Linked DNA regions of Arabidopsis thaliana. The protein of the gene in region 2 interacts with the protein of the main gene of each other region in a biochemical or structural test. Each region holds a gene or a part of one and is shown on either strand. Other genes may lie near its edges. The genes, in order: GRF5 and TUA6.

Evidence for each region.
Region 1: the proteins of TUA6 (region 2) and GRF5 form a complex in vitro, tested with the Arabidopsis thaliana proteins (one study listed by BioGRID).

The regions. Positions count from the first base shown.
Region 1 is NC_003076.8:5,238,007-5,249,024, reverse strand, and holds GRF5 (general regulatory factor 5), read left to right. Parts: upstream 1-3,186; 5' UTR 3,187-3,273; intron 3,274-3,282; exon of another isoform or gene 3,283-3,468; intron 3,469-3,599; 5' UTR 3,600-3,622; coding exon 3,623-4,105; intron 4,106-4,192; coding exon 4,193-4,315; intron 4,316-4,702; coding exon 4,703-4,819; intron 4,820-4,933; coding exon 4,934-5,017; 3' UTR 5,018-5,470; downstream 5,471-11,018. Other genes in the region: AT5G16070 (TCP-1/cpn60 chaperonin family protein), read left to right, coding at 260-464, 562-656, 823-891, 986-1,093, 1,189-1,307, 1,398-1,476; AT5G16060 (Cytochrome c oxidase biogenesis protein Cmc1-like protein), read right to left, coding at 1,816-1,897, 2,319-2,466, 2,807-2,864; AT5G16040 (Regulator of chromosome condensation (RCC1) family protein), read left to right, coding at 5,717-5,745, 5,836-5,980, 6,340-6,450, 6,546-6,606, 6,704-6,819, 6,922-7,007, 7,098-7,299, 7,414-7,467 and 3 more; AT5G16030 (mental retardation GTPase activating protein), read right to left, coding at 8,447-8,713, 9,732-9,940, 10,028-10,342, 10,440-10,484, 10,576-10,783. UniProt on the Arabidopsis thaliana protein: Is associated with a DNA binding complex that binds to the G box, a well-characterized cis-acting DNA regulatory element found in plant genes.
Region 2 is NC_003075.7:8,542,102-8,553,119, forward strand, and holds TUA6 (Tubulin/FtsZ family protein), read right to left. Parts: upstream 8,395-11,018; 5' UTR 8,219-8,394; coding exon 8,126-8,218; intron 7,928-8,125; coding exon 6,668-7,927; coding exon of another isoform or gene 6,652-6,667; 3' UTR 6,316-6,651; downstream 1-6,315. Other genes in the region: AO1 (amine oxidase 1), read left to right, coding at 1-908, 992-1,105, 1,380-1,930, 2,047-2,203; KMS1 (SNARE associated Golgi protein family), read left to right, coding at 3,416-3,464, 3,763-3,974, 4,058-4,136, 4,220-4,519, 4,630-4,787, 4,933-5,049, 5,146-5,325, 5,466-5,621; MAPR4 (membrane-associated progesterone binding protein 4), read left to right, coding at 9,255-9,362, 9,618-9,703, 9,784-9,855, 9,974-10,011, 10,357-10,400, 10,622-10,668, 10,823-10,997. UniProt on the Arabidopsis thaliana protein: Tubulin is the major constituent of microtubules, a cylinder consisting of laterally associated linear protofilaments composed of alpha- and beta-tubulin heterodimers.

The DNA.
Region 1 (11,018 bases), on a different chromosome or scaffold from region 2:
TAAACTTATGTTACAAATCGCTGAAATTGTGATATTTAGGAACAAGAAGAAAGATACTAGGGAAGAATGTGTTATTAAGTGAATTGAAATTGCCAGTAATATTAAAAGAGTAGTTCCTTCGATATACAATAATCCATGGAGACGATTGGCAGCATTAGTTTTTAGTTCTGGGACACTGACTGAGCTTGTCTATTCTTTTGTACCTAATTTCTCTTGTTTAGAAGCTGTTGAATCTAATTACCTTTCCTCATGTGTCCAGATTATTGGTCTTAGAAGAGCAAAGAGGAGGAACATGGAACGTTTAGTTTTGGCCTGTGGTGGAGAAGCTGTGAATTCTGTTGACGACTTGACCCCTGAGTCTCTTGGATGGGCTGGACTTGTCTATGAGCACGTTCTTGGGGAGGAAAAGTACACCTTTGTGGAGCAAGTGAAGAATCCTAATTCATGTACCATCCTCATAAAAGGTATTAGGACGACTTTTATGTCTTCATTAAGTTTTGATGGTTCATTTGTTCTTTTAGTAGTTTTAGTGTTCATTCATGAATTTCTTGGGTTTTGTAGGGCCTAATGATCACACTATTGCCCAAATTAAGGACGCTGTTCGTGATGGTCTGAGATCGGTCAAGAACACCATAGAAGACGAGTGTGTTGTGTTAGTAAGTACCTTATATATCTTGAAGTTTTTTTGTTAACATTGCTTTATGTTTCTCCGCAATATCAAAGAAATTGTTAATTCGTGATCAAAACCCTGGGTAAGGTTAGCATATAGACCTATTGTATATGTTTTGCGTTATGTTAATGTGTGGTTGCATGTTTCTGTAGGGAGCAGGAGCTTTTGAAGTTGCAGCAAGGCAACACTTACTCAATGAAGTCAAGAAAACCGTTCAAGGGGTAAGTTGATTTCTTCACTCGTACTCTAATTCTCGCAACATTACTTAATGCATCCCAATATTCTAAATTGCTAATACTATCATGAACATTGCAGCGTGCCCAACTTGGCGTTGAAGCTTTTGCTAATGCCCTTCTCGTGGTGCCTAAGACACTTGCAGAAAATGCAGGTCTTGATACCCAAGATGTGATCATTTCTCTTACGGTATGCATTCATCTCTCTTATCATCTTCTGCAAACTGAAATCAATTGTTGAAGGAACAAAGAATTAGAATTGCTCATTGTGATGCGCTTATGCAGAGCGAGCATGACAAAGGGAACGTTGTGGGACTGAACCTTCAGGACGGTGAACCTATTGACCCGCAGCTTGCTGGTATTTTTGATAATTACTCAGTGAAACGCCAACTTATCAATTCAGGGTAATGTTCGACCCAACTAGTCAATTCTAATAAAAGCTTTGGGTTTCGGTTGAAACCATTTCAATAACCGGCTATTTGTTTGTGTTGCAGGCCAGTGATTGCGTCGCAATTACTTTTGGTGGACGAAGTGATTCGTGCAGGCAGAAATATGAGGAAGCCTACTGCTTGAAGTCCTTTGCTTTTAACTTGGTTTCTAATTTGTAAGCACCTCAAATTTTGTTTCTTGGTGTAAATCCTGAATATTGTGAAACATATGTTTTTTTTTTCTTTTTGGCAATGAAAAACATATTTGAATCTGATCTTTAGATGTAGTGGATCTTTTGCAAAATGATAAAAAATAGTAATACAAAATCTATTTGAATCTGATCTCTAGATTTAGTGAATACACCCATATTTAAGAAAGGCCACAGTTTATTTATAAAAAAGGATATATTTTGGTTCGCAATGAACAAGAAACAAAGCGAGGACATTATATTGGTCGTACTCAAATCTTTTGTTCAACAAACATCTATATGGCCGAGGCTGAGACTTTACCCTCTTCTTGAACCATATACGCTCTCTTCATTTCCTCCAAGACATTGTCATTGGTGCTGCAGAATCAACAAAATAGTTTCATGGTTAGACAACATTTAAGCATCGGCCCAACAAGGGAGACGTTCATTAGGGAGTCACATAAAAAGAACTTGTGCACCAAGAACAAGACTGTGCTACACCGATATAGAAGATAGTTATTACTTCTCTTTTATCGCAGTATCAAAGAATCATCAATCATCCCCTTCTATAAGCTTATATTTGGTTACATATATATACTAGCACTGGTACGTCATGATAACGTTATGCATCTCCTAACCACAAGTTGTCTCATTTCATCATATCAGACTTACCAGTGAAGGGTATTAAGAAAGAATAATCAAAATCAGATGCCCCCATACACAACAAATCTTTATACGTAACAGTGAAAAAAAGATGACACCTCTAATGGAAGGAGCACTAAAAACTCGAAAAACTTACAATTGATGGAGGCAAGTGTTGAGCTCCCTAGCTTGCTTACGACATGTCCATACCACAGAAAAAGTTCTTCCTGTTGCGCATTGAGCATACTTGGAGACGTACTGATCACATTCCATTAATGCCTTTGCCTTCATCTTGCTACGCAGCGCTAATAACAAAGTATATACATAATCAATCAAACAACCATTTAACAAAAAAAAACCATCACCATTTCAACTTCAACACAATCTATAAGCTCAATTCATAGAAGCAATTTGACACACTCAATGAGAGCTTGCTAGATCAGATGCAAAATATGGAGTTACTACCAAGGGTTTATGAGAACCCTAATCCTCAATCTAGCAAAAGAATCTGCGTCTATGATAAGAAACCAGGCTTAAATAGTATCGATATGGTTGATCTCATTTTCGAGGCAATAAAAAAACCATTTGGGGGTTTAGGGTTTTAAAACATAGCGAGATGAAGAAGTCACGACATTGTCAAATTACCTTCTTCGACCTTCTTCTTCACGTGATTTTCACGAGCTTGCTCCACATAGCTACCCATTGACGACGGACCTTCGAGCTTTTCCGGCCTTCTCCGATCAATTCGATCAAAAGGGCAAAGGGGACTAGAAATGGGTTCAGGGCAAAGGGTAAATCCGTCATTTACCCCAAGGAAACTTAACTTATATTGCCATTTTGCCCCCTTAATATTTTTGTATTATATGAATGACCTTATTAACTTATGATTCGTCACATTTCACCCACTTCAATTTAAAATTATGGACGAGAATTAAGTCCTTTGACGGTCAACAGATTAGCACGTGTCGTATTTTAATTGGGTCGTTGCCCCTCTCTCTCTCTTTACTCTTTTCCCATTTAATGGTCACGAGACCGTCTCCCCCAAATTTCTCACTTCCCCTAATTTCGCTTCGAATTCAAAAGCCCTAATTCGAAAATTCCCATTTCTCAAGGTACGGTTCCGATCTTCCTTGCTCATACTTCGACAATGTTTTTTCTGCTTCTCGTTTTCTGCGTTTATTGTTGATATGTTGTTGATCTTCGCGTTTTGGTCATCACTTCAAGATCTGTAGGATTCAAAGTTCGTTCTATCGATTTTGGATAGATCTAGCAGTGTAAATCGTTTGTCAAAGTTTTTTATTCTTTGGGTGCGTGGATTAATTTTGTTAGAGATGATTGTTATCGTTGCTCTTGAATGCAAGATTGTTGCAGCATTACTGAGTTCTATTTCGTGCTCTTTGTTTATTGCTGCTGCTTGATATTTTCTTGTTGAAAACAGGTTTTTAAAAGAGTATTGCAAAGATGTCTTCTGATTCGTCCCGGGAAGAGAATGTGTACTTGGCCAAGTTAGCCGAGCAAGCTGAGCGTTACGAGGAAATGGTTGAGTTCATGGAGAAAGTTGCAAAGACCGTGGAGACCGAGGAACTTACTGTTGAAGAGAGGAATCTCTTGTCTGTTGCTTACAAGAACGTGATTGGTGCTAGGAGAGCTTCTTGGAGGATTATCTCTTCCATTGAGCAGAAGGAAGATAGCAGGGGCAACAGTGATCATGTTTCGATTATCAAGGATTACAGAGGCAAGATTGAAACTGAGCTCAGCAAGATTTGTGATGGCATTTTGAACCTTCTTGAGGCTCATCTCATTCCTGCTGCTTCTTTGGCTGAGTCCAAAGTTTTTTACCTGAAGATGAAGGGAGATTATCATCGGTACCTTGCTGAATTCAAGACTGGTGCTGAGAGGAAAGAAGCTGCTGAGAGCACTCTTGTTGCCTACAAGTCTGCTCAGGTTATCATCTTGTTTCTTCTTCTTAACCATATAGAGTGCTAAGATAACATGTTGTCTCATGCTATTGGTGTTTGTGTTTTTATGTAGGATATTGCTCTTGCTGATCTGGCTCCCACTCACCCAATCAGACTGGGGCTTGCTCTTAACTTCTCTGTTTTCTACTATGAGATTCTCAACTCATCTGATCGTGCGTGTAGTCTCGCAAAGCAGGTCTGTGTTACTTTTTCATTTATGCTATGCTTTCTGTCATTAACTAACAAACCTATATTCCAACTGTTTTGCTTGATTAAACTTAGCACATAAGAGGTTCTTTTTTTCTATCTATCGTTCATAATGTGGCAAAAACGTGTTACGTAGTTAACTTGTTACACTTCCATGTGGGTAGACTTTCCATATGTTCTAGTAATGGTTTGTAGATTGCTTACCATAGCCTGACCGATAGGGTTGTAGTTAATTTTGATGATGGGCAGAATTGGGAAACTAGATCCTGTGAATGGTTCCATACACTAGTGAAATTTGGACAACCTTCACATTCGGATTCTAGTTTGATTCAAGTACCTTTTGTTTAGTTACTAATATGATTTTTCATGGTGGTAGGCTTTTGATGAGGCAATCTCGGAGCTAGACACATTGGGAGAGGAATCATACAAGGACAGTACATTGATCATGCAGCTTCTCCGTGACAATCTCACCCTCTGGACTTCTGACCTCAATGTACTTGTCTCTCTTTACACTCATCATTGTTAGCAATATCTTAGTGATTGCATCATGCAGTTAAGATTCTTGTTGGTTTTCGCATAACATTTGTGTCTAATATCTAATCTCCAGGACGAAGCTGGTGATGATATCAAGGAAGCCCCGAAAGAGGTGCAGAAAGTTGATGAACAAGCCCAACCACCACCTTCGCAGTGATAAAATCAGATCCATGGAATGATTTGCAGACAAAAAAATATATGGCTTGGTTCTGTGTTTTTAAACAGAAAAAAACCTTGTAGTTTCCTTAAACATGGGCTGTAGTTTCCTTAAACATGGATTTGTAGTAGTAATTGTAGCTGCATGATTTGGTTATCGATGGTTAAAACTCTTTGTGTGCTTCTCACATGTTTTGGTTGTTGTCGTTGTTGCCGGTTTCACTATTAGACTGCATTGCATTACATGGTCCGGTCTAAAAGTTGAAAACTTGCTTCCTTCTCTGATTGGGGTTTAGTTGTCTTTTAGATTATGCTTCTCTAGGTGGAATGTTCCCCAAATGGAATTGGTTAAGACTCAAGAGAGTTGTTCAATGAAACGAAATAGAAATGGAATTTCACAACTTTAAACGAAAGATAAAGCCTCTTTCGGTTTGGAACAACTGTTAGGTAACACATATAATGGAATTACAAATCATAAATCCTCCATGACCATAAGCTAAAAAGTTGGATTAATTAATAAATGACATGGGAATGGGAGGTAACATTAACTGGTCCAAAATAAATAATTAATGTAATGACACATTCACATAATAATATCTCGAATTGAAATCCCACCGAGAGTGCCCTGCTTTTCCACTGAGTTTCTTCATATATATCTCTTTCTCTCTCATTTGTAATTGTATCTCTCACTTTTGTTTCAATGGCTTCAGCTACTTCCGTCATAGCCTGGTCATTTCTCTTTCTATTCTACCTCTTTGTTTTTCTCCATTACTGTTTCTGACTTGTGCTATTGCTCCTTCGTTTGATTTTTTGGCACAGGGGTTCTGGAGAAGATGGGCAACTAGGACTTGGAACCGATGAAGAAAAGGAATTGGCTTCCGTCGTCGACGCTCTTGAGCCTTTCAACGTTCGCTCCGTCGTCGGTGGTAGCCGCAATTCCCTCGCCATTTGCGATGATGGCAAGGTTACTTATCCAATTTCCTTTATGTGTCCTTGTTGTGTCTTCTTTGGTTGGTTTCGCTTAGAACTAACTAAAGTACAATGCTTTGCTTTGATTTTGCGATTTGATTCTAAGCCATGTCTTTAAGATTTTCTTAGTTCGCTTTACATAGGGTTTTTGAGATCTGTAGGACCAATTAAAAAGGGTTTAAAGCTCGTATTTTTTTTCTTGTCCTGAAGTCCAACTAAAATGCAACCAATATGTTTGTCTGAGGTTACTCTCGAATAGATCATCAGACTCTGGTTCTTGTCTCCATGGTGTAGTTTATGATTGATGTGTCACCAACATATAGAAATAATATGGTCTCTTAAATGGTTTCTCAGCTGTTTACATGGGGTTGGAATCAAAGGGGTACATTAGGACACCCACCTGAGACAAAAACAGAAAGCACCCCAAGTCTAGTTAAGTCTCTTGCCAACGTCAAGATTGTTCAGGTAAAACTTCTTACAATTATTTAAGTATTTTTGGCTCTAATGCTGTTTCCTCGTTGTGATTTACTCTGAATTGCCGTTTCTGTAATTGATCATAGGCAGCTATTGGTGGCTGGCATTGTTTAGCTGTCGATGATCAAGGCCGAGCATATGCTTGGGGTATGCATTTTCTCTCTCAGCTTCTTTCTAATGATTGTGACCTCAATGATCTTAATGATCTTAAGTTGTTCACCTTTTTGTTATATAATCTACTTAGGTGGAAATGAATATGGACAGTGTGGTGAAGAGCCTTCCAAGGATGAGACAGGTAGGCCTGTGCGGAGGGATATTGTAATACCTAAGCGTTGTGCCCAGCAACTTACAGTCCGACAGGTTACTTATGCTGCTAACCTCTCTTCATTTACCTCAATTTTTAGTTCTCTTTTTTTCCTGTCTAAACCATCTGTTCTCGGGTTTGTATGATTAAAATAACAGGTAGCTGCAGGGGGTACTCACTCTGTGGTTCTAACCCGTGAAGGTTATGTATGGACTTGGGGTCAACCGTGGCCTCCCGGTGACATGTATTATCCAAATTTCCTTTCGTTTATGGATACGACATTTGCATTTTCTTGTCTTCTGTTGGTTTATATGGTGTTTCCTGTGTATCGCAGAAAACAAATTTCTGTTCCTGTAAGAGTTCAGGGTCTTGAAAACGTTCGTCTGATTGCTGTGGGAGCATTTCATAACTTGGCTCTGAAAGAAGATGGGACTTTGTGGGCTTGGGGTAATAATGAATATGGACAACTTGGAACTGGAGACACACAACCGAGATCGTATCCTATTCCTGTCCAAGGCCTTGACGATCTCACTTTGGTATGTAGTCTAAGACTTCTGGTTTAAGCACTCATTATTATAACTGATGCCTTCAGATATGTGAACTATAAAGGCCTATGTTAAAGTTTAATTCCTCCTCTGAATTCATGTTAGGTTGATATCGCTGCGGGTGGATGGCATTCAACAGCTTTAACCAATGAAGGAGAGGTATTAGAAGTCATACATTCTCTTACTAATCTAGGGTCTCACTTTTTATTCCATCTGGCTCTTGATCGAGTCATTACTGGGTTGTTTCTGAGCTTGATGTAGATCTTTACTCTAAAAATGTTGTAACTTGGCTATGTCCAATATTAGGTTTATGGTTGGGGAAGAGGAGAGCATGGAAGGCTCGGGTTTGGTGACAATGATAAGAGCAGTAAAATGCTTCCGCAGAAAGTTAATCTCTTAGCTGGAGAAGACATCATTCAGGTAAAAAGTACAAACCACCAGTTCTTGACTCTTCTCATAGCTTTGAAAGCTCTTATTGTTTTTTTTCCTCTCAGGTCTCTTGTGGCGGAACTCATTCAGTCGCTTTGACAAGAGACGGTAGGATCTTCTCGGTAAGTCCTCTTAGAGAGTATAAAACATTGTTGGTTAGAAACCCAAAGTCAATCTATAAACCTCTCCTTTATATTGATTCCTGTGATCAGTTTGGTCGGGGAGACCACGGTAGACTCGGGTATGGAAGAAAAGTAACTACGGGACAACCATTGGAGCTTCCTATACACATTCCACCACCAGAAGGACGGTTCAACCACACCGATGAAGAAGACGATGGAAAATGGATAGCTAAACATGTAGCTTGTGGTGGCCGACACACTCTAGCAATTGTGGAATGGAAGTATGATCAGGAGGAAACAGAATAACCATGAAGAAGATAGAGCGAGCAAAAAAACAAAAACACAAGAGGGACTCTAGAGATAAGCATTTGTTATAGAGAAAAGGGGAGCAAAAGCATATGGTTAAGCTTTTGACACTCCCATGAATGATGAATCTATATGAAAGAGGAAGAACTAAATATAATATCATCATGATTTTGTTTTTGATAATATAAAATAGATTGAAAAAGAGAAACAAATAAGAGGAACCTTTGAAAGGATGGTTTAAACCTTTAAACCTTTATTGATTCTCTCGGTTTAAAGGTTTTTCAACAACCTTTGACAAGATGAGGAACACAAATAGGGAAGATATACTTTGATTTTCTTGCTTGTCTTTGTCTTGATCTCACCCATGAGAAACATCCAGGTCCTCTCTTCTTCTTCTTGGTCTTCTCTTCTTCTTCTTGTTCGTCTTCTTCTTCTTTATCATCTTCTTCACTCATATCTTGCTTCTCTTCTTCTTCTTCTTCTTCATCTTCTTCGTTGCTCATATCTTGCTTCTCTTCTTCTTTTTCTTTCTCTTCCAACTTCACATCCTTCAAAGCTCAAATAAATCTTCATTAACATGTAATATCTTGAGAAGAACAAGGCTTAGATATATAATATAGATAAGACTTATTTTCCTTACAAGTGTTTTTGGCCTTTTGGCAAATTATCTACAGTTTCATGTCCAAAAACAGCAATTGATAATAGTTATACAAACGTAAATCATCTCTTTTCTTTCTCAAAGGTAAAACCACATGTAAAGTTGGGGACTGGTGAGACTTGATGAAACAAACTTCTAAGGTCTCTAATCGAGTTTGAATAGAATGAGATTGCTATCAGTGCCTTATCAAGTTACAAAAACTTACTCCTAAATAACATGTTACTCATAATCATAAGAGTGACTATAACTGTATATTTAGATAAATGTACAGAGAAAATACAGAATATGGATGGTAGTCACGTGAGTTGGAGACAAAATCATGAAATGGGGCCTAATGAGATATATTTTCAAGAAATACGGTTTTGTGTTTCTATGATTAATACTCTCATATATAGTCATAGACGGTCATGTGTACTATGTTTCATATATCATGAAAGAATCTTAAATCTTAAAATGAATCATGTAACATATCTACAAAAACAATAATAGAAGAGTTTTATCATTGTCTCTTTCCATGAAAACATTTGGTACTATCATTTCTTTGATGCTTTTCTTATCTTGCGAAAGAGTATCTAATTATTGATGCATATGCACGAACAATTCAAAATTTTATGCAATTATTATTTTTTTCCGTACCTTTTCAATTGCATGGACCTCACGCTAGCGACTAAATATTTCTCACTTTTTTATTAAAAGTTTTCATTTTTTTCTCTCTAAATTATAATTTTACCAAATTAATAGATTTTTTTTTTTGATTTGATACTGTTTTTCCTTAATATTTTAGGCTACGGTAAATATTACTGGATTTTGTTAGAGTAATCCTTGGTTAAGAAGTTTAAATCAAACTCAAATAAACATAAATGAAATAAATTCTTTTTGAATTACTGTTATATTGATATTATATATACCTGTTGTTGACCTTTCACTTTGAGATTGATATCCACTGGCCAATCATCAGCTTCCACGTGTCGTTTTAACGACCTTTCCATAATCGGAGGCGTTTTTGCCGGACTAGGGCTACCGGAGCTAAGATCCACCGACGTCGTACTCTGTATGCCCACATCTCGCTTCATCCCCACAACTTTCTTTTCCGCTAAAAACACCCCCCCATAATTTACTTTTGATCAGCAAAACCCAATCAAGAACAAACTTCAAGAAACCTAAAAAAAAATCTAAAAGATGGGACAGAGTTAAAGTCAATCACCTAGAGCAAGAAGTTCAGGATCAGGAGCATAAAGATCCTCGTGAATGACTCTAACGTTAGGATTATTATTTGGTTTGTTTTGAGCAATATTATTCATCAATGGATTGGGACTAGGGAAGTGAAGAGGAGCAGACATGGTTGATAAGTTTCTGAAGGATCTTGCACTTAATGTTTTAGCAGACAAACACTCCATTGGTACTTCTCCAGACAATGGATTGCAGATATATTTCTCTGCTTCGTTCCACTTCGAATTCAATGCAAACCCTTCTTGTGCTAACCATTCCCTGTTATTGTACATTGTCTTTGCTTGTAATGCTGCTACAAACAAAAGAAACAAGACAAAACACATTTGGAACATTACTCTCTTGTTCTGTCCTTTCGAACGTTCAATAGGAGAAAAGCAAAAACTTACCTTTGAGTGCATTGGTGAAGGAATATGTTGATGGGTCAATCTCTTCTGTGGTAAAAAGATTTGAAAATTCAAAAAATATTCAGAAGAAGTAATTCTCATAAACTTATTGGGACAAAGAGAGAGGTATTTATAAAACCTTTGAGAGTGTAGCCAGGAGAAGAGGCAGTACTAGAGATGTTGTTGAAGTTTGTTGTTCTAAAAGAAGACTTGTGGTGATCTTCTCGGAAGCTTCCAATGTATGAAGCTGAGAATCTTCTTGAACTCGGGTTTTCGCGGATTAATCGAGCTCTTCGATCCCATTCTCTTAAGTTCATAAACTCATGCTCATCTCCTCGCAAAGCCATGGAAACGAGATGTTTCTTCTTCTTTAATTTTTTGAAAAAGCAAAAACTTTTGAGCCAAGGAGGGAGAATGAAGAAATCAGGCAGTACCTATAAAAAGATGTTTTTTACTTTATGAAAAAACGAATTATTTTTGTACCTTATCTTTTTCAAAAGTTTTTATTGGTTACTCATATTTAAATTCTTTTGTTTTTTCTTGAAAGATTCAAAATATATATATTTTTAAAAAAACTAGAAT
Region 2 (11,018 bases):
CCAAGAAACCACCACCCCCACGTCGTCGCTCATTCGTCGTGGTTCGAGCCGGTGGTCAAACCTACGAGCTCATCATCGACCTAACCACGAGCAAGATTGCATCCTCCCGCATCTACACAGGCCATGGTTTCCCCTCATTCACATTCATAGAGCTTTTCAAAGCAAGCAAGCTTCCTCTAACTTACCCACCTTTCAAGAAATCGATTCTCGATCGATCCCTAAACATCTCCGAGGTTTCTTGCATCCCTTTCACCGTTGGTTGGTACGGAGAAACCACCACGAGACGTGAACTCAAAGCCTCTTGCTTTTACAGAGACGGATCAGTCAACGTCTTCACAAGACCCATCGAAGGAATCACCGTAACTATAGACGTCGACTCAATGCAAGTCATCAAGTACTCCGACAGATTCCGAAAGCCTATCCCTGATAAAGAAGGTAACGACTTTAGGACTAAACACAGACCCTTCCCGTTCTTTTGCAACGTCTCCGACACAGGCTTCAAGATACTCGGCAATAGAGTCAAGTGGGCTAACTGGAAATTCCACGTCGGATTTACCGCAAGAGCGGGAGTAACTATATCGACGGCTTCGGTTCTTGACCCGAGAACCAAAAGGTTTCGACGAGTGATGTATAGAGGGCACGTGTCAGAGACTTTTGTTCCGTACATGGACCCAACCTACGAATGGTACTACCGTACGTTCATGGACATTGGAGAGTTTGGTTTCGGGAGATCCGCCGTGAATCTGCAGCCACTCATTGACTGCCCGCAAAACGCTGCGTTTTTAGATGGGCACGTGGCCGGACCAGATGGGACAGCTCAGAAGATGACCAATGTGATGTGTGTATTCGAGAAAAACGGTTACGGTGCTTCTTTTAGACACACCGAGATTAATGTTCCAGGACAAGTGGTAAACTTACAAAATACAGATTACTAAATGATTTGTTTACGTTTCTAGGAACTTTGATTAGTTACTTTAATTAATTTTTGCAGATAACAAGTGGGGAAGCTGAAATAAGTTTAGTGGTTAGAATGGTGGCCACACTTGGAAACTATGATTACATAGTGGATTGGGAATTTAAAAAGAATGGAGCCATCAGAGTTGGGGTACTGTTTACTTCATGTTCTCTTTAATATAGTATTTAACTTTTTGGATTGATACAATTGTTTTGAAATCCAGACCAACCTGGCCAGTTTTGACCTGTAAAGATTCTTTAACATATGTTATAATTTTTTCAAGTGAACTCAGTTTGATTTTCGTTTGAGAATTTTAAAAGAAATGGAGCCATCAGAGCTGGGGTATAGTTTATATATTAGCATGGTCTTTCATTTTTTATACATAATAAAGTATTCAAGTATATCAATCTTAATATATATGTAGGTGGATTTGACTGGAGTTTTAGAAGTAAAAGCGACATCGTACACTTCAAACGATCAAATAACGGAGAACGTATACGGTACACTGGTGGCGAAGAACACTATCGCCGTTAACCACGACCATTACCTAACGTACTACTTGGACCTCGACGTTGACGGTAACGGCAATTCCTTGGTGAAAGCCAAACTCAAAACGGTAAGAGTAACGGAAGTTAACAAAACGTCTTCTCGGAGGAAGAGTTACTGGACGGTCGTTAAAGAGACGGCGAAAACGGAAGCTGACGGTAGAGTTCGACTCGGCTCGGATCCGGTTGAGCTGTTAATAGTAAACCCGAACAAGAAGACGAAAATAGGAAATACAGTTGGTTACCGGCTGATACCGGAACATTTACAAGCCACTTCGCTTTTAACCGATGATGATTACCCCGAGTTAAGAGCCGGTTACACGAAATATCCGGTTTGGGTGACCGCCTATGACCGGTCCGAGAGATGGGCCGGTGGGTTTTATAGTGATCGGAGCCGTGGCGATGACGGTTTAGCTGTATGGAGTAGTAGGTAATTAATTTAAAGTAAAAATAATTAATCTAAAGTTTAAAATTATTTTTCATAGTAAGTAATTTTTTTTTTTGGTTTATTAAGGAATAAATTTGTGGTTTGTTATATGGGAACAGGAACAGAGAGATAGAGAACAAAGACATAGTGATGTGGTACAACGTTGGGTTTCATCACATTCCATACCAAGAGGATTTTCCGGTTATGCCAACTCTTCACGGTGGTTTTACTCTTCGGCCTTCAAATTTCTTCGATAACGATCCTTTGATTGGGTAAATACGGTCTTAGACAAACAAACTGATGGCTTATGTATTGATTGACTTATGTTACGTCAAACATATGATCATTGAAAAAACAATTTTTAGCCTTGTGACTAAGTTATTAATTTGATTTTGATTATTATGTCTTGAATGTATTAATTTCTTATGTTTTGAATGGTTTAGTTAATTAGCTTTGATGCTTTTTTTGGTTCAATACTTGTGATTCACTTATTTCTCAATTTTCAAGTTGGTCGTGCCATCGGCAAAATCCTTTCATTGTAACACCAAAACGTCGATAAATTTAATGAAATTTGGTTAAATTAGAATCGACCCACACGGTTGTATGAGTTTGTTGGTATATTTTATTATTCTAATTATTATTATTTCTTTTTTTTAAAAAATAAATAAGAAGATGATTTAATTAAACTATAGTTTAAAATTTTATCTATAACAATACTATATAATATATGAGTTGAACCGATTAAATGTGATATTGGTTTTTGTAATAGTAAAAAATAATAAAAATGTTAAAAATGATAATAGTAGCGATAATATTATATAACTAACTAAAAATATTTTCTATTATTTTTTCCTAAAAAAACTTTTTTTAACTGTAACAAATTTTTAAATTTACTCAATTTTATCGTAAAAATAGAAAATGGCACGTTGTACGGATCCTAATCAAACTATACTTTGTTTTTTTTTGTGTGTATGTGAAAATCATGGTTTTAAGTTCGTTAAATTCGCATACTTTCCAGATGTCCGGTTCAACCGATCTAACCGAAACCAAGCAAGAACGAAATGGGCTTTAAAGCCCAGTGAACCAATCAATGAATGTAGAGGAACGAGAGTTTTTCTGAACTCTGTTAAATTTCGTTTGCGTCTTCTTTCCATTCTCTGAATTCCTTCCATATCTCTCTCTGTGTGTCTTCTACAAAGACCAGATCTCTCATCTGTGTTTTGTTGGTTTATCTCGACCAAAGCCCACACGTCACGTTACGTTAGGTTACAAAACAAGTTTTTTCCCTTATAAAAAAAACATTGATAAAATCGAAAAATCAATTCCTATTTTGTTTCCAAAGCAAATCTATATATCTATTACCCATCTCGAATTCGACCGAACCCATGTTCTAATCTCCTTCGCAACATTGGAAATCTATTTTAAAAATCCGTTGAGATATAGTTATATAAGTAGTTTGGTGACTCAATTAGGTTTACACACAAAGACATGGGATCGGCTGGTGTAGCGAGTTCTTCTTCTGATGTTGCGATCTCAGGCAAGTTTCTTCTTTTTGTTTTTGGGTTTTCGATTTTTGACCTTTTATCAATTAGATTTCATCTCAATTCGTTCATATCATGGATACAAATTATGAATTCGAGATCTGAATCACAGCTTTTGATTTGTTTTGTGTTGTTTTGTTGATGTGAATCGATTAGTGATGTTGGATTAGCGATCAATCTTATAGCTTAATTTGTATTAAGGTGATGTAGGAGAAAGGCTTAACCTTTGTTGAAATAGGAGGGAGACCCACATTGTATGGGACTAATGTAATCTGTGTGTTATAAAACTTGCAGCTTTGCGTGAGAAGCATGAGAAGGAAGTAGAGAATCTAACATTAACGACACAACCTTTGAATACATTGAAGTTGTTTGTTGAGGCTACTATTCAGTACATCAAGCGATCCATATCGTATCTATTGGCTCATGGAGGTTGGTTTATACTGATAACCACTTTGTTAGTGGTATCTGGTGGTTTGCTTGTTACTGTTGATGGACCTCATGGCAAGGTATAAATCGTTTCGACTTTCCTGGATTGTATTTTGATATAAAGAAGGGTCTAAGTCTAACACATGTGTATTTATTGTTACAGCATGTTGAAGAAGTATTAGAGTATGTCCGATATGGCTTGTGGTGGATAGCACTTGGTGTTGCATCTTCTATTGGTCTTGGTTAGTCACTCAAATAGCGTAGTGTTCTTTCGCATTTACGAAGCAATTAACATTAGTCTTACTACTTCTATCTTCTTGTATAGGATCTGGTCTCCATACTTTCGTTCTCTATTTGGGTCCGCACATTGCTTTGTTCACTCTAAAAGCAACGCTATGTGGTCGAGTTGATCTAAAATCTGCACCATATGATACAATACAGTTGAAAAGGGTTCCTTCATGGCTTGATAAATCTTGTTCGGAATTCGGTCCTCCTTTAATGATATCAGCTGCTGGATCGCGTGTGCCTCTTACCAGCATATTGCCACAAGTCCAGTTGGAGGCAATCTTATGGGGTATTGGGACGGCTCTTGGGGAGCTTCCTCCATATTTCATCTCAAGGGCAGGTTTGTATACTGATTCTCTCTATATATTTCTCTTTGATTTGTGTAGTCGTCCATGCATGTGCATAGGTCTCGGTTGTTTATTGTGTTGTTTGCTTTTTCTATTTTTCCAGCTAGTATATCTGGGAGCACAGTGGATGGAATGGAAGAATTAGATGGTTCCTCCACTGAAGATAGCGGATTTATGGCAACTCACCTGAACCGTGTTAAGCGTTGGTTATTAACCCATTCACAGCACTTGAACTTCTTCACTGTCTTGGTTCTTGCTTCGGTTAGTATGCATCCTCCAATTTACTTTACCTTCTGCAGTAGCAAATGGATTATGACCGTATTTACTGTGTCATATAATATCTTTTGCTTTCTAGGATTCAATGATCAGGACCTTACCATTACTCACTGCTTCGATTTGATTGTAGGTTCCAAATCCTTTGTTTGACCTCGCTGGAATAATGTGTGGACAATTTGGCATTCCGTTTTGGGAATTCTTCCTGGCGACCTTAATCGGAAAGGCGATCATCAAAACTCATATACAGGTTCAGAACCTCGTGTCTCATAGATACTAGTTTAACACCCAAATGGTTTTTTAACTTTGTTTCTTATGTGCTTGTTTCTCCTTTTTCGTAATGTAGACGATATTTATCATCTGCGTTTGTAATAACCAACTGCTTGACTGGATGGAGAACGAACTGATCTGGATACTTAGCCATGTCCCGGGATTGGCTTCTATGTTGCCTGGACTCACAGCCAAACTCCACGCCATGAAAGAAAAGTATATTGATGCACCATCTCCTGTTCCATCTCACATCAAGGTAAACAACCTTTCGCTATCCCGCTACATTCTTTATAAACTTTACGCATTTCCTACTTTGTAAGTACGAAGTTTTTCACTATGTAATTCAAGCTTTTACAAAAGATCAACTGAATTTGCGTTCTTTTTGATCTTGAGTAGGTGAAAAAGTGGGATTTTTCGTTTGCATCGATCTGGAACGGGATAGTATGGCTCATGCTCCTCAACTTTTTCGTGAAGATTGTGACAGCAACTGCACAGAGACACTTGAAGAAGAAGCAAGAGAAAGAAATGGCTACTTTGACTCATTCAGATTGATAAAATCTCCCACAATCTTTCTTCCTCATGCTCCAACATCAAAACAGACACTATCCAGATTTGAGTTGAAGGGCCAACAAACAAAAAATGTCTTCTCATCTTCTCATCTTGTCACATTGATTCCGGTGGGACTGTTCTGTGTAGGAAATTGGGATTATGAGATTGCAGGAGGTTTATTTTTGTTCCTGTGATTCCATAGAGAAGGTTCTGTAGGAACAAGTACTCAGAAAAGAAAAACGCATTAATTGCTAATTTGGTACTGTTACCAAATTAAATCTAGTGTAAGCTTATTTTGTTCTATGCTTAGTTCCAATTATTTGTTATTTTTTTTCACTGTTAATATGAGCAAATGAGTCTACCAAATACAGCAAAACTACAAAGAGATAAAGTTATAGAAACTGAGCCCCAACAAACATTACAGAGGTAATGCTACATTCAGATACAAAAAGCTCATTTAACCAACTTGGGGAACCTGACGAAATATATGATTGCCAAAGATCCTCTCTAGTCGCACTTCGAGCTATATAAGAAAAGCTCTCCAAACATGGCCAAGCAGCAAAACTTATGATTTTATTCAAGTTCAGGCTCTTCATACTTTCCATTGCCCATTTCCACTCTCCACAGGAATAGGATTGAAACAAAGGAACTTCTGCTTCTGCTATGAGTTCCAGTTATTAGTTCCTTCTCATATTACTACTGAAATAATGTTTCAGTGCCATCTTTTGTATCCAGATAGTTCTTAGCAGCTTATGCAGATATGATAAAGGTTGACTTTAGGAGAAGTCTAGTTCAACTAACAAAAATACCCAGCTAAAATTCAGTTTTTGAGATTACTTTATCACATAGTAAGAAAGATATTACCAGAAACATGAGTCAATACACAAACGAACTAGATAATAGAAATCAAACCACCAGCAAGAGATAGAAATATAGGTTTAGAAAAACACACAACTAAGACTCGTAAGAGTTTCGAGCCCCCATTCATCACAACACGAGATAATAGAGAAAAACCCAACACAAAATCCAATTTTTAAGAAACATTCTTCTTAGTATTCCTCTCCTTCATCATCCTCATCGTCACCACCTTCAGCACCGACCTCTTCATAATCCTTCTCCAATGCTGCAAGATCCTCACGAGCCTCTGAGAATTCTCCTTCTTCCATACCCTCACCAACATACCAGTGAACGAAAGCACGTTTGGCGTACATAAGATCAAACTTGTGATCAATACGGGAGAATACCTCAGCAACACTGGTTGAGTTTGAGATCATACAAACAGCTCTCTGGACTTTAGCAAGATCACCTCCAGGAACAACAGTTGGTGGCTGGTAGTTGATACCACACTTGAATCCAGTAGGACACCAGTCAACAAACTGAATAGTTCGCTTGGTCTTGATGGTGCCAACCGCTGCGTTCACATCCTTGGGGACTACATCACCACGGTACATCAAACAGCAAGCCATGTACTTTCCATGTCGCGGGTCACACTTTGCCATCATGGAAGCAGGTTCAAAGGCACTGTTCGTGATCTCAGCAACTGAGAGTTGCTCATGGAAGGCCTTCTCCGCGGAGATGACTGGTGCATAGGACGAAAGCATGAAGTGGATCCTTGGGTATGGAACCAAGTTGGTTTGGAACTCAGTAACATCAACATTCAAGGCACCATCGAACCTCAGAGAAGCAGTCAAGGAAGAAATAACCTGAGAGACGAGACGGTTGAGGTTGGTGTAGGTAGGTCTCTCAATGTTAAGGGAGCGTCTACAGATGTCATAGATAGCTTCATTGTCGAGGAGGATGGAGACATCAGTGTGTTCCAAGAGAGAGTGAGTGGAGAGGACACTGTTGTAAGGCTCAACCACAGAGGTAGACACCTGTGGAGATGGGTAAACAGTGAAACCCAACTTGGACTTTTTCCCATAGTCAACAGAAAGTCTCTCAAGGAGAAGAGATCCAAGACCAGATCCAGTCCCACCACCAACAGCGTTGAAAACAAGGAATCCTTGAAGACCAGTACAGTTATCAGCGAGCTTTCTGATCCGGTCCAAGCAGAGATCAACAATCTCTTTCCCAATGGTGTAATGACCACGGGCGAAATTGTTAGCAGCGTCTTCTTTACCACTGATGAGTTGTTCAGGGTGGAAAAGCTGACGGTAAGTACCAGTCCTGACCTCGTCGATCACAGTTGGCTCAAGATCAACAAAGACAGCACGTGGGACGTGCTTACCTGCACCGGTTTCACTGAAGAAGGTGTTGAAAGCATCATCACCTCCACCAACAGTCTTGTCACCAGGCATCTGGCCATCAGGCTGTAACATTCCAGATCCAATACACCACATCAATACAAAAATCATATACAATAGATCTAAACAGGTTCATCGAAACGGATCTTACATCAACTATATAAATCAAACACAGATCTAAGCAATTACGTACAATATATCTACGAAATCCGAAGAACAAGGTGAAAATATCTCAGATCTGATCTATAAGAGGAAGAGACGAACCTGAATGCCATGTTCAAGACAGTAAAGCTCCCAGCAAGCATTTCCGACTTGAATACCAGCCTGACCAATGTGGATCGAAATGCACTCTCTCATTGTCGTTTCGCGGAAGAAAGAAAGATCTAGAAAATAGATTTGCAGGGAAGAAGACGAAGGGCGTTTATGAAGACGCTCTTCTTTAGATCTGATATTTTCGATTTCTAGGTTATGAGGAAGGTGTTTGATGCTGTATTTTATAAGCGAAAATTATCCCATCTGTATGTAACGGCAGGTATATTACACGTGTAATGATGTAATTGGGTTGTTGTTAAAACCACGATTTGTTGTTATTCTCGTGAGCTGTGTATTTTATAATTTTGGAATTTTTGAAAAGCAAAATCCCTTGAATTGCGTGGAACTTAACCGGAATTTTAACTGGAATTGAACCGTATCAGACCATTATTTAGGACTGAACCAAAGTGTATCAGATAAGTAATTTCCATTGTATGTTTGAACTTGCAATCAATCTTCAGGGAAATGATAAATCGATATACAATAAAACCTCTATAAATTAATAATGTTGGGACCGCGAAATTTTATTAATTTAGAGAGGTATTAATTTATCGATAAATTAATATTTATTAATTTATACAGACATTTTCCTAATTTGGTAACTTTTAAAATTGTTTTATAAGATTTCTTTCATTGTAGAAAATATATATTTAGAACCAGTTACAAGTAAAACATAATAATAATGTTTAGAAAACAACACCAAAAATTTTGATACAATAAAATATGAAAATTATACTCAAACAAAGAACAAATATGAATTTAAGCAAAAAAAATTTTAAAATATATTTTAAAGAAATTCTTTTACATATAATATATATATAGTTAATATATTTATACAATTATTAATTTATGATATTGATGAGACCATACATTCACATCAAACTTTCAGAAAAATTATTATCTTATTAATTTATCGTGTTCAAGGTCGGTCTTAAAAAATTTATGAAACGCACTCTGAATATTTGAAGTATCACAGTTTAGTACCTTAACTTTTGTTGTTTAGTTAAAAAAGTCATCACATCCTAAAAAGTGGTGTAAAAAATTAGCAAATTTCGCAGACACGTGAAATCGGATCCAATCGATGATTCCGGCGAGGAGGTTTCTCTTATCTCCATTTGTCGGCGTCACGTTTATCGTCGTTCTCGTCTCTCTCTACTTCAGATCTTCCTTCAAGTCTCCACAACACCAAGTACCAACTGCTCTTCTTTCTAACTAACTTCCCTGTTCTGAAAATTCCAAACAGACACGAGCTTAGCTGGAATTCAAAATCTCTATTTAGCTTCTGCTACTTTTTGATTGAATTATACAGGGTCTTCTATAGCCAATGAAGTTTGTCTCTGTGGTTGTTATGTATGGGTCTTGAGTTTAATTAGAATTGAAATAGATAAACCAATGTTATGATGATGTCTCATGTCTTTGATTTGATGGTTTGTTTGTGTTTCAGTATCAAAAGAGGTTATTTTCTGCTGAAGAATTGGCATTGTATAATGGTACTGATGAAACATTACCTATACTCTTAGGGATTCTTGGGTGAGTTCTTTTCCTTCCTTCTGCTGTCAGGTTTTTGAAAGTAAACGCATATGTTAACAACTTGTGAACTGAGTATTCAGATCTGTGTTCGATGTGACGAAAGGAAAATTTCATTACGGTAGTGGAGGAGGGTACAACCATTTTGCTGGAAGGTTTGTTTTGTTAAAAATTATGTGGAGAGATTCTCATATGTTCTTCTATCTTCTTCTTGTTAATCTTTCATGTTTGTAGCTGATGGGAAGTGTTTTTCCATGTCATTCTTTCGCTCAGAGACGCTTCTCGTGCATTTGTTTCTGGCAACTTTACAGGTACGAATCGTTTGCTGCATCCTAATCACCATGCCTGTTTGATCCAGATAAATTTGTGGAAAATTTTGTAGTATATTATGGTCTTTGCTTCTGTTAGTACTTATGGACATTGGCATGACATCCTCGAAAAAAATGAGATTTCATTCTCTTTTCTTGCTAATGTTATGAGGAAATTTTCTGTGTTCCTCCCATTACACATCTTTGAATCCTCATAAACAATATTAGTCATGCGTGAAGAAGTCAGAATTATCCAAACTTTGTAGCTATTTGGAGAATATTATACATCAAGTCCCTGAAATCTGTGGAAACTTCTCATTTGTGTGCTATGATTATTTTCTTGTACAGGAGATGGACTTACAGATTCGTTACAAGGGTTATCTAGCAGTGAGGTAATGTTTTTTTAGCTCCATATATCTCATCAATGAAATTATAGAAACGTCTAAAGTAGTCTTTGATCTTGCCATTGTGCCAGATGTGCTTATTTCTTCATAACTATTACTTTCTAAGATATTGAAGTAGCATATAGTTTGTTAACTGTTTGATATTCTATAACTCCGATTATGTTTAGTTACATGTTTGATATGGCTTGACAAAGATTTCTTGTCCGCAGGTGAAGAGCATTGTTGACTGGCGAGGTTTCTACTCCAGGACCTACACGTAATTTATTACTTTTATGTTTAATTCACACAATAGAAAGCTGATGCATAGTTAAACTAAGAAGGTGGTGTATGGATAATACATTGCTCACCTTAATCCTTGTATTATATGGTCCTCTTGGTTTGGTTCTCAGCTTTTAATTTGTGATCAACAGTCCTGTTGGGAAGCTTGTTGGGCGGTACTACGATAGCCAAGGGAATCCAACTAAACACCTTAAAGGAGCTGAAGCAAAAGCCTCCAGAGGTGCACAACTCATGGAGAAACAGAAGACTGAAGAAGCCAAGCAATCGAATTGCAACTCACGATGGAGTCAAGATGAAGGTGGAGAGGTAGAAACTCTTGTTATCTTC